Oryctolagus cuniculus: one gene and its partners. The protein of the gene in region 3 binds, or shares a complex with, the protein of the main gene of each other region. Links are inferred from orthologs where the notes say so. Each region holds a gene or a part of one and is shown on either strand. Other genes may lie near its edges.

What was found.
Region 1: KAT2B (region 3) and MYSM1 share a complex: the UniProt entries of both Homo sapiens proteins name them as parts of the large chromatin remodeling complex. The link is inferred for Oryctolagus cuniculus from reciprocal best matches to the Homo sapiens genes KAT2B and MYSM1.
Region 2: KAT2B (region 3) and RBM10 share a complex: the UniProt entries of both Homo sapiens proteins name them as parts of the large chromatin remodeling complex. The link is inferred for Oryctolagus cuniculus from reciprocal best matches to the Homo sapiens genes KAT2B and RBM10.

Annotation. Positions count from the first base shown.
Region 1 is NC_091438.1:114,368,083-114,371,731, reverse strand, and holds part of MYSM1 (deubiquitinase MYSM1), read right to left. Parts: coding exon 3,292-3,649; intron 1-3,291. UniProt on the Homo sapiens protein: Metalloprotease with deubiquitinase activity that plays important regulator roles in hematopoietic stem cell function, blood cell production and immune response.
Region 2 is NC_091453.1:32,715,847-32,719,595, reverse strand, and holds part of RBM10 (RNA-binding protein 10), read right to left. Parts: coding exon 3,696-3,749; intron 3,595-3,695; coding exon 3,452-3,594; intron 3,358-3,451; coding exon 3,240-3,357; intron 3,158-3,239; coding exon 3,066-3,157; intron 2,968-3,065; coding exon 2,803-2,967; intron 1,723-2,802; coding exon 1,573-1,722; intron 1,481-1,572; coding exon 1,415-1,480; intron 1,338-1,414; coding exon 1,149-1,337; intron 1,061-1,148; coding exon 986-1,060; intron 661-985; coding exon 554-660; intron 479-553; coding exon 349-478; intron 253-348; coding exon 127-252; 3' UTR 1-126. UniProt on the Homo sapiens protein: Binds to ssRNA containing the consensus sequence 5'-AGGUAA-3'. May be involved in post-transcriptional processing, most probably in mRNA splicing. Binds to RNA homopolymers, with a preference for poly(G) and poly(U) and little for poly(A).
Region 3 is NC_091435.1:155,767,347-155,770,995, forward strand, and holds part of KAT2B (histone acetyltransferase KAT2B), read left to right. Parts: intron 1-583; coding exon 584-792; intron 793-2,072; coding exon 2,073-2,199; intron 2,200-3,649. UniProt on the Homo sapiens protein: Functions as a histone acetyltransferase (HAT) to promote transcriptional activation. Has significant histone acetyltransferase activity with core histones (H3 and H4), and also with nucleosome core particles.

The DNA of each region.
Region 1 (3,649 bases), on a different chromosome or scaffold from region 3:
TACACACTAGGCATTTTTCTAGGCACTAGAGATATAAAGATGAACAACATAATGTTCTGACCCCACAGACCTTATATGCCAATGGGGAAGACTATCCGTACATCAATAAATGCATATTATGTTGTCAGGCAGCAATAGTATTAAGAAGGAAGAGGATAATGGAACACAGTGTAACAAACAGGCACAGACTATTTTAGATAGGGTATTTAGGGGAGGCCTCTCTAAGCAGAGATCAGATATAAAATCATCAATTCTAGAGAAGTTTCTGGGAAGGTAGTCAAGTTAGAAGGGATACGGAAGAGTATCATAACCTCCATAGAGAAGTTGAAATTTCAATGTGTCTTGAAAGTAAGAAACAAATGGTACAACAAAGCCAGGAAAGAAGAAGGATACTAAAAAACTGTAGGAGTCTGAAAACTGGATTGATCTAATTAAAATTACTCAAATCAAAAGGCTTCAAAGAGAACTCAGTAATCTTAGCATAGCGCTGAACTCAGGACTCTTAAAAAGGTATGTGTTCATGAAATAGTAAATACAGGTTTAATTTTTCCCTCCTAACAAAATGAATGTTTGCGTATTTCAAGCATTGTTCAAAGCACTAGATATTTAACAATGAACAAAACAAACAATAAGCCTTTGTGTTACCTATATTATCATCACAGTGGGGAGGACACAAGACACAAAAAATACAGTATTTGGGTGGTGATAATTTCTATGGCTGAGAACAAAGAATGAGAGGGAGGAGACAGGTGAGCTATTTTAGATAGGGTGGTCAAGGAAAGGCTCTTTCCTTTGAGCAGATCTGAAGGAGATAAGGAAACCAGACTCGCCAAGAAATGGGGGGAAAAGAGCATCCACAATAGTGAAAAGCCAGGACCACGGCCCTGAGTTGAATATGAAAACAATGAGTCCAGGCTGCAGACTCTGAAACTACTTTTACCTAGTGTGACCTGGAACAAGTTTCTAATCCTCTGTGGACCTCATTTTTCTCATCTGTAAAATGTGGACAGAGTTGTCAAAAGGAAATACAATACATGGCATTTGGTAGATATTCAATCATGGTATTGTTACTTATTTTTTTTTTTTTTAATTTCCTTACGCAGTGAGTCACCAGCATTTGCTTTTATCTGCAAACAAATCTGACAGGTAGCACTTTATTTTTAAAACTTTAACTGTCTTTTTTTTTAAAGACGACCTCCAGTCACTAACCATTTTCTATTCTTTTTCTGAAGAGAACAGATTTTAGTTACAGTTCAAAACATTTATTTTAGGGACTAGTACTGTGGTGTAGTAGGTTAAGCCTCTGGCTGTGGCACTGGCATCCCATATGGGCGCTAGTTCATGTCCTGGCTGCTACTTTGATCCAGCTCTCTGCTTATGGTCTGGGAAGGCAGATGGTCCAAATGTTTGGGCTCCTACAACCGTGTGGAGACCTGGAAGAAGCTCCTGGCTCTGGACTGGCCCAGCTTCAGCCGTTGCAGCCATTTGGGGAGTGAACCAGTAGATGGAAGACCTCTACCTCTGTGTCTCCCTCTCTCTGTCTGTAACTCTGCCTCTCAAATAAATAAATAAATAAATCTTTAAAAACAAACAAAAAAGAAGCCGGCGCCGCAGCTCAATAGGCTAATCCTCCACCGGTACACCAGGTTCTAGTCCCAGTCGGGGTGCCAGATTCTGTCCCGGTTGCCCCTCTTCCAGGCCAGCTCTCTGCTGTGGCCCGGGAAGGCAGTGGAGGATGGCCCAAGTCCTTGGGCCCTGCACCCGCATGGGAGACCAGGAGAAGCACCTGGCTCCTGGCTTCGGATCAGCACGGTGCTCCAGCTGTAGTGTGCCAGCCGTGGCGGCCATTGGAGGGTGAACCAACGGCAAAGGAAGACCTTTCTCTCTGTCTCTCTCTCTCACTGTCCACTCTGGCTAACAAAACAAAACAAAACAAACAAACAAAAAAACATTTATTTTCAGCCTTCACACCATTTTCCTAAATCATCATGTTTAAATAGCAGTATCTATTGGTTTCATCAACTAAAACAAATAGTTTAGGAAACTACTGCCATATAATTTGCAGTATCTATGCAAATTATTCTGCCTTACTTGATTATAGTCAAGACTTGAAATGAAGTCTTTCAGGAGTCAGTGGCTGGTTAAGTCCCTTTCACTATGTCAGAGGACTGCTGTGAGGCCTATACAGCAAATAAGAACAGAGAGCAAGTCTTTCTTTAAGCAGCTAAGTACCATGTAAATGACAGTTGTTCCTTGTCAGCATTCTTTACTATGCTGCCTCCTTACCCAGAAGTTGTTTTGGCATGTCAAGCATCTGCAAGATAACCATGTATCAAGAACAAGAACAAAAATCCTCCTTTTAGAATACTGCTACCTTTAAAAACCTAATGACTTAATATTATGTGGGCAAAATGAAGGCTATTGATTTGGCACATTATTAAGTTTCCTTTATGTAACCTTCCAAAGCTATAGCAGAAAGTTACTGCAAAGGAGAGGAAGACAGAACAAAAGAGAAAAACAAGGGACAAAGCAGAATCCCTACTCAAGGAACTGGGAAGCCCTCTCTAAAAATGGCCCTATATGATTCAACAGTTCATGAACTAGTAGTAGCAATTATGAGTGTTTAATGATGGCTTAATTAAGATGTCAAGATTACTTCAAATTACTTTTATCAGGTTAACGAGGTAAGAAGTTTTTTGGTTTGCTCCCTAGGCCCACTAAATAGTTCAAGTAAAATGTATTAACAATTTAGAGGGTAAATTTCACATATTAGAAAATTCCTGGACCTTGATGAAGCTGGATGAAGAAATTATTAGCATATTCCACCACAAGTTTAAAGCTGAAGGCATTTAAGACAGCTGTTCAGGTGGAGTTTCTGCAAAGAGGCCACATTTAATGATACCATCCTCTGTCACCAAATCTTTCCTTCTTTGCACTTAAAGTACATGATAAATCCCAAAAAGAAAAATTCTCTCCTATTCCCAGTACAGTAGTGTTCTACATCTGCATTATTTCTGTCCCAAGGAATTGCTTCTTGAAGCAGTTATTCATCCCTTTTCTTTCCAAGCACAAACACTCAGATGAACAGACAGATGGTATTGTGACAGCTATACATGACCAAAGCTTTCAAAAAAGTTTCACTGTGAGAAAGTTAAATTTTTCCTACTGAAATGCTGTTATGTGAAAACACTCTTATTGCCACCAAAATTCTAAATTCTGCATAGGCCTAACTAAAACACTTAAAGAGTATCAGGTTTTTAAAAAGGCATCTAAAATGTAATTTTTTCTTACCACTGATCCAAAATGTAATTTCTAATTTTCAAATAGCGTTCTGGTGTTTTAGCTTGACGCCCCTCAAAAAACTCAGGAATTGCTTGTTTTTCTTCTTCTTGAATGGTATTTCTATCTATTTCTACTTCTTGTTCTGGTGGCTTAAGCTCTTCTTCCTCGTGGCTTTCTTCCACAACATGACAAGAAGAATGAAAAAGCATTTCATTGTCACTCAAATCTTTATTTTCACAAGTCTCAAGAGAAGGCCACTGACTCGCATCATCTATCAGTCCATTTCCATCATGCCCGTTATAGTTCTGAATTGGTTTATTACATTTCTCATCTTTTAATTCAACTGATTTTTTGTCATTGTTGCTCG
Region 2 (3,749 bases), on a different chromosome or scaffold from region 3:
AGGGCTGCTCTGGCGGAGGAGCAGGCTGGTAGATGGGAGCAGGATCTCCCTCTAACCACCCACACATCATCATCCCCTGCCCCAGGATGGAAACGCAATAATGTAAGAAGATGTTCTTGCAGCTGCTCACTGGGCCTCGTTGAAGCGGGTCACCATTGTCTTGTGCAGTGTCTCCTTGTAGGACTCGGTGGAGGTGACCCCATAGGAGCTGCCCCGGGCACCCAGGCCGGAGCCCCGCACCCGTGTTTGGGCCTGTGTGAGGGAAGAAGGGAGGCAGGTTCTGTCAGGCTGGCTGAGGGATGCAGCGGGGGACCCTGGGGGACAGGGCTGGGAGCACTGGAGACTCACCTCAATGGGTGTTACGATGCCCTGCTTCTTACGGCCCAGGCCGCTGCCCTCTTTCCAGCCCATGGCCTGGAGCATGCGACTGCCGATGTTGTCACTGCCCAGCCCATCCCGAGTGGGCTGCTCAAAGTCCCTGCAGGGGACAGTGTGCAGTGTGAGCGGCTGGCCTGCAAGCCGCGGGCCCCCTTGCCCAGCCCCACACACTCACACGGAGGCTGCCGCTATGCCGCCGTACTTCCTCCTCTTGGGCTCGGGGGGCTCGGGGATGCCGTACTTCTCTCTGCGTTCAGCGGCACGGTCCCGGTACTTCATTTGCTGCAAGTGTGTGTGCGTTTGTGTGTGTGCATGCTGGGGAGCTGGCCGCTGCTTTTGGGAGACCTGGGCAGGGGTTGCTGGGGTGGGGTGGGGGTGGGGGGCCTCACGGGGAGCTCCATCTGGCTCGCAGGTCCTAAGGGTCAGGACAGCGCGGGTCCAAGTGGCAGGTTGGGGGAGGGCGAGCTGGGTGGGAAAGAAGCCTTGCAGGGACAAGGGCGTGAGATGGCTGATGGCAGTCAAGGCATCACACCTGGCTAAAGAACTTGAGGGGATGGAGACTCGGAAGGATGGAGGAGGCGGGGCCCAGGAGTGGGTCGCAACTCACCTCCATGTCGTTCTTCTCTAGCGCTTCCAGCTCGTTTTCCGACAAATGGGCTCGCCGATGAATCTCAAGGTTTTGCTGCAGAGAGGATGGGACACGGAGTGAGGCGGCTGGACTGGGCTGGGCACCGGGCTCCAGATGCCCCCCCAACCCTCCCCTTGGTCACCTTGTGGAGCCCCGAGAGCTGCTGGTGCCGGATGAGTGCTTCCTTGCTGGGGAACTGGCGCCGGCAGAGCAGACAGGCCAGCTTCTGCCAGTCTGTGAGCTTCTCCTCGCGCTCAGGGCCCCCGCGTTCCTGCTCCTCCTCACTGTCACTCTCCCCGCTGTAGGCTGCCACTAGCCCCCGCGGTGGGCTCTGCAGAGGGTGAGGGTGGGCAGTCAGGCCTGGCCAAAGAACAAACTCCCTTGCCCCTCTGGGCCCAGGGCACTCACTGGGCGGTCGTCGCTGGCCAATTTCGGGAGATCCATGCTTGTGTGCTGTCTCTCGGCCAGTGCTCCCTGAAGTGGAGGGAGAGATATCGAGGGACTCCACAGAGGCCCTGGAGGAAAGGCGGGATTGCAGGGTGGGGTGTGGGGAAGCCACAACACACCTTCTTCTCCAGGATGGCATAGCCAGCATCCGCGGTGGCTGACTCCCGCCTTTCGTCATCTCGCAGAGAGCTGATAGGCTGGAAGCTGTTTTTGAAGTTTTCTTTTTGTTTGTTGAGACTGCGGGCCCAGCGTTCCATATCCTTGGCAATCTGGGCATGAAGGTAGGGGTGAGGCTCCCAGGAACCCTCAGGCTGCTGGGGCCACCAATGGCACCCACGGACCCACAACCCTTGCAGCAGCCCGGCTGCTTCCTACCCTGGGGCCCAGCTACCCAGCATGCCTCCCTGGTCTGAACCACTGCAACAGGCTGCCCGTGGCTCTGAGCTCCACACTCTCATCAACTACTTGCCCTCCCCCTAAAATAACTTCCTCTTAACCCTTCCTCGGTTCCCCCCTCACACCCAGAGCAAACTCAAAATTGTGACCAGGGCCAGAGAAGCACTTGGCTCCCTGGCCCCTACCAATTTCATCTCTGAATACCCCCAACTGCGTGCCCCCCACCCCACCCCGGTTTGCAATGGCAAGGTGATAGAAACAGTTTGGGTAGAGTGGCAGGCCCAGCACACAACAGGAGTCTGGGGCAGAGTAAGCAACAGGTGGGAGACGCTGGGGGTGCTGAGTTCCCACTGCCCTGCCATCAGTCACCACTGCTCCGTCAAGCCCTTTTCTGTGTGTGCTCCTATGTCCCGACAGGCACCCACACTGTCCCGTTTGCTGTTCCATGTTAGCACAAGACTGTCCATTTACGCACGTGATGCAATGCTGTATTCCACGTTGCCCCCTGTGCTCACCGCCATGTTTAGAAGCCGCCAGGTCGGTGAGGCAGCACTTAGCATCATGCTGCACCCCACTGTCAGACCATTTGCTCAGACGCAGAGCCTCCCTCCCGCTGCCCACTACGAAACACAGCAAGGCCTTTCTTCCAGGGCCTGTGGAAAGTCCTCGGCAGGACGCACTCCTATACACACACACCCCCGCAAGAGTGGTGCGAGGCTTCCCACAGGGGCAGAGGAAAGCTGCCAGGGCTCATTGAGATAGTGCGAGCCACCTCCCGGGGGTGGGCCGCCCTGCCACGCACTGAACAGGCCAAGAGCAGAGCTGGCCTAGTGACTACTCCTGCCCAGTCACCAGCCCACCACCCTCTGCGACAGCAGGCCAGAGGTGAAAGAACGTGGTCGTCAGAAGACACCTGCCAGCTAGCTGGTGCCTGCCAGTCGCCCGATGTTCACCTGCTGCGCTGTCTTGGTCTTGTGCTTCTCCTTCTTCTCTTTGCCTTCCTTTGAGGGAGCCCCTGTCTCCTTATGCCCGTCAGCCGACTGCTCCAGGGCAGGAACGTAGGTCCGCCTCTCCCCATCCCAGTACAGGTACTGCTGGCTCTGAGCATTGTAGTAATACTGTGGGGGGCAGAGGGGGCATGAGGGAAGACCGACCAGGAGACCTGCAGGGAGAGCTGCCCAGTCTCACCCCAGCCCTCCCCAGTCTGCTCCATCACCTGGGAGTTGGGGTCATAGTACAGGCCCGTCTGAGGGTCATAGTAGTAGCCAGATGTCTCGTCATACTGGTAGGTGGAAACGTCAGGCACAGCTGGTGGGGGAGAGGGGGTTATCACGCTCTTCCCTGGTGTGTCGAGAACTCTCCACCCCGCCCATAGGCTGTGGCTACTCACGGTACTGGCTGTAGGACTCCTGGGCAGTGGGGCTGGTGGCCGGCGGCAGGGCAGAGCTGGGATGGGTAGGGCTCTGGAGCTCCGATTTGAGCACAGCAGGTGACATGATGGTGTATGACTGGTCAGGGGGCCAGACAGGGGGACAGGGCTCAGGGTCTGCCAATGCCACCCTTTCCCAGTTGCCTCCCTGGGATCCCCTGGAGCCCACTTACCTGGCTGTTGGCAGCAGCACCCTGGCCACTGCTGGCATCGGCTGCTGCCTGTTGGTAGAGGCCAGGGGTCGCACCAGCCTGGGCACGGGAGAAAGCCTGCAGTGACATGGAGTCTGCTCCAGGTTCCAGGGACGCCTCAGGACCTGGAAATGCACAGGGAAGGAGGATGCCTGTGAAGGCTGGGGCCCAGACCCCCTGCCTGCTGGCCCCCACCATGAGCTCAGGAAGAGATGCTGGGGCTTACCTGCTCCAGCTGGGTCCCCTTTGGTTCCAGTGATGCCAGGGCCCTTGGTGCCCT
Region 3 (3,649 bases):
CACTGTGGCTTCAATGCTATGCCGCAGTGGCAGCTCCTCTCATTACTTCTTTCCTGAACTTTTCCCTCAGTCCTTTTCCTGGGATCATGGTCCTTCCTTAGTTGCTCTGGTTCTTCTCTGTGGTAGAGGCAAGTGCAGGGCCTCTGTCCACCATCTTGGCTCCATGCTACACCTATTCTTGGACTTATTGTCTGTGGCTGCTTTTGTCCTGCAGCCAGAGTTGAGTACTTGTGACAGAGACCTAATTGTTTGCAATGTCTATGATATTTTTTATCTGGCCCTTTATAGAAAAATTTGCTGACCCTTAATTTTGTACCAGATTTCATCCATGTACACCTGCAGTACTTTAGTTTCTCAAAGTGCTTTACCTACCTCTTCTATTTTGTCTTTATAACTTGTATACACGTGAGTGTACCCATGTGAGTATGTGTATTGGTAAATGCACATGTGTGTGAATTTAGGACCCAGAAAATCCACAAATAAGTATCTTACTAGAGCAAAGAAGAGAAGGTTTGCTGTGTTCCGTCCACACTGTCTTAAGAGAGTTAGTCTTTGTGATTTTCTGCTCTCTTCTCTATCCCAGACCAATTTTCTGTCAGCCCATTCAGCAAGGGATGAGGCAGCAAGGCTGGAAGAGCGCAGGGGTGTGATTGAATTTCACGTGGTTGGCAATTCCCTGAACCAAAAGCCGAACAAGAGGATCCTGATGTGGCTGGTCGGCCTGCAGAATGTGTTCTCCCATCAGCTGCCCCGAATGCCAAAAGAGTATATCACGCGGCTCGTCTTTGACCCGTAAGTTTTGTGTTAGCTCTTCCTCCTTCTTTGTTTCCTTTTACAATGGAAGACAAACTACTTAGATGGTGAAAGTCTGCCACAGTCTACCACAGAAGTCTCTTCTCCCTCCTGCGATGATGTGCTATGGAGTTTCATCAAGCTGATTTTCATGTCAAAAGGTACTGCAGTTGATTTCCCCACAATTTACACATTTTTCTTTTATAAATATTTATTTATTTGAAAGGCAGGAAGACAGAGAAAAAGAGAGAGAGAGAGATATCTTCCATCACGGTTTACTTCCCACATGGCCACAAATATTTGTTCACTTTATAGAACTCCATGCAGGTCTCCATGAGTGTCTGGTGCCCAATTACTTGGGCCATCTTCTGCTTCTTTCCCATGCACATTAGCATACAGCTGGGTCAGAAGCTGGACAGCTGGGACTTTAACCAGCACTCCCATATCAGATGCCAGCATCTCAGGCAGTGGTTTAATGGGCTGTGCCACAACTCCAGCCTCTATAATTTCTTGTTAATGATGATGAAGCTTTATATTTTAAGTTTTTTGGTGACTATGCTGTGTTCGTTTACTATAGAGTAGAGAGAACTACACACTAAGACGATATCCCACTTTTTTTTTTTTTTTAATAGTCAAAAGGCTTCTAGTTTTAATACCTTAACTAGGTTTCATTGTTGCCCATATTGGTAAAAGTTGGGAAAATTATTGAGAAATAAGTCAAATTAACTCTGCAAATCCATTGTTTTAAATTTTTTTTTAAAACCCTAAACCCCAAATTGATTTATTTAAATGTATTTTGACATATATAGCTCAACAGCCTATGTGGACTCTGATCTTCTTGTGTGACAATTCAGAATGATACTTGAGACAGAGAGAGGGTCTGATGGGGGTCTGGCAAACTGTACATGTGAATTTCATATTCTTCCATATTGTTTCTGTAATATTTTTGACTAAGGCTAAACTTGTCGAGGACATGTGTTTGACCATTGCTTCATGTCCGCCCCTGACCTCCCACCCTGGGGTCCTTGGTGTGGGGGCTGCCAGTGCCACAGTACTCCATGCACACTCTGTTCTCTATCTGTAAGCTGCAGATGGTTCCTAGGTGACTGGTGTTTTGTTGTGGTGGGCACTGTGAAGAAGGCTTGTGCTGGCAAGCTTGATCTAAGAAGCCCAGAATAAAGGATGGTCTAACAAGATAGTGACCAGATGAAGGCATACCCCTAAAAATATATTTCTGTAATGTGGATAGTAAAACTTTAATGTAATTTTATTCTTTTCAGGAAACACAAAACCCTCGCTTTAATTAAAGATGGCCGTGTTATTGGTGGTATATGTTTCCGTATGTTCCCATCCCAAGGATTCACAGAGATTGTTTTCTGTGCTGTAACTTCAAATGAACAAGTCAAGGTAAGAGTAATCCAAGGTCTCAGAAGAAAAGGAGAACGTGGGGCTTCTTGCTAGAGCTGCAGAGCTTGGGAAGTTCTCTGTGCTGTGTCCAGAGAGGGCTCCAGTAGAATTCAGGACTACACTCACTGCAAGTATATGGATATGTTATGTGAGAATAGGTGGCTCCACACACCACTAAGTAAGGCTGTACCGTGGCTTTGTTGGACCTTGGGGCAAGGTACAGGGAAACTGTATAACCCAATGTGAAATTTACATGTAATTCAGCAAATGAAAGGATATTTGAAATAAAGCTCAGTTTTCATTTTCATTGTCAGTTTACACACACACACACACACACACAACTGGTAACACTGAATCATTAGAAAGGGTATAATTGATGTGGACTAGGATAAAAATTTGGCCAGTTTACACTTCTCAAAGATTTCTTAAGACTTTGTCCCTTGTCTGTAAAGGGGAGTTGTGGAAAATTTGCATAAGTTTATGATTAAATTTTAGAGTATTCATGGAGGTTTTGGCATGTGCTGGAATTTTTTTTAAATTTGTTTTCTTGTTTTGTTTCTTTTTCATGTCATGGTTTACCTTCCCAATAGTTCTTGGCATCAGTCCCTCCCTGGGAACTGTAGCTATGATTTAATGTTTTTTTTTTCTTAAGATTTATTTATTTACTTGAAAGAGTAACAAATACACAGAAAGAGAGAGAGAAAGAGAGAGAGAGAGACAGAGGCAGATCAGAAAGAGGTCTTTCATCCTGTGGTTCACTCCCCAAATAGCTGTAACAGCTGGAGCTCCGTGCTGCAGGCAGGAGCCCGGAACCCCACCCAGGTCTCCCATCTGAGTGGCAGGTTCAAATCAAGTGGATTTTACCCTTCTAGCACCCTTCACCTTGGACTAGCCACAGTTCAGGTGCTGGCAGAGATGCCAGAATTGAAACAATGCAGGCTTAAGGACATCTTTGGCTCCTTCGCCTTCAAAGAAGCAATGCTATTTACATAAACCAAAAATAAGTCACTGAAAGGGATTATTCTGTACTTGAGGGTGACAACCAATGCAGTTGGTACTTTTGCTTTCATTAGTGGCTTTTTTTTCTCAAGTCACAGTGCCAAGTACAGCTGCTGTGATGTAGTTGTTCTCACAAAGCACAAGTGGAGCTTTTTGTCTTTGACTTCTAGCATTAAGTACCAAAAGGCAAATGCGATTCAGCAGCCTTACGTTTATCATTCTGACTGGGGCAGTAAAGACCCACGTTTGCGTGAAACGGATCTCTGGCTTCTTTTCAAGGAATTCTGACAGTATGTCTTTAGATGGTGCTGTTGCTGTATTTATCATTTTTTCTCCTTAACCAAAATGAAAGTGTCCAAATGTCCAAATCTTTCCAAATATAGAGTGTTTAGGGCCCTACTTAAAGGACAATTTTGTTTGAGCTTTCATGGAGTGAAGACTTGGGAAATAT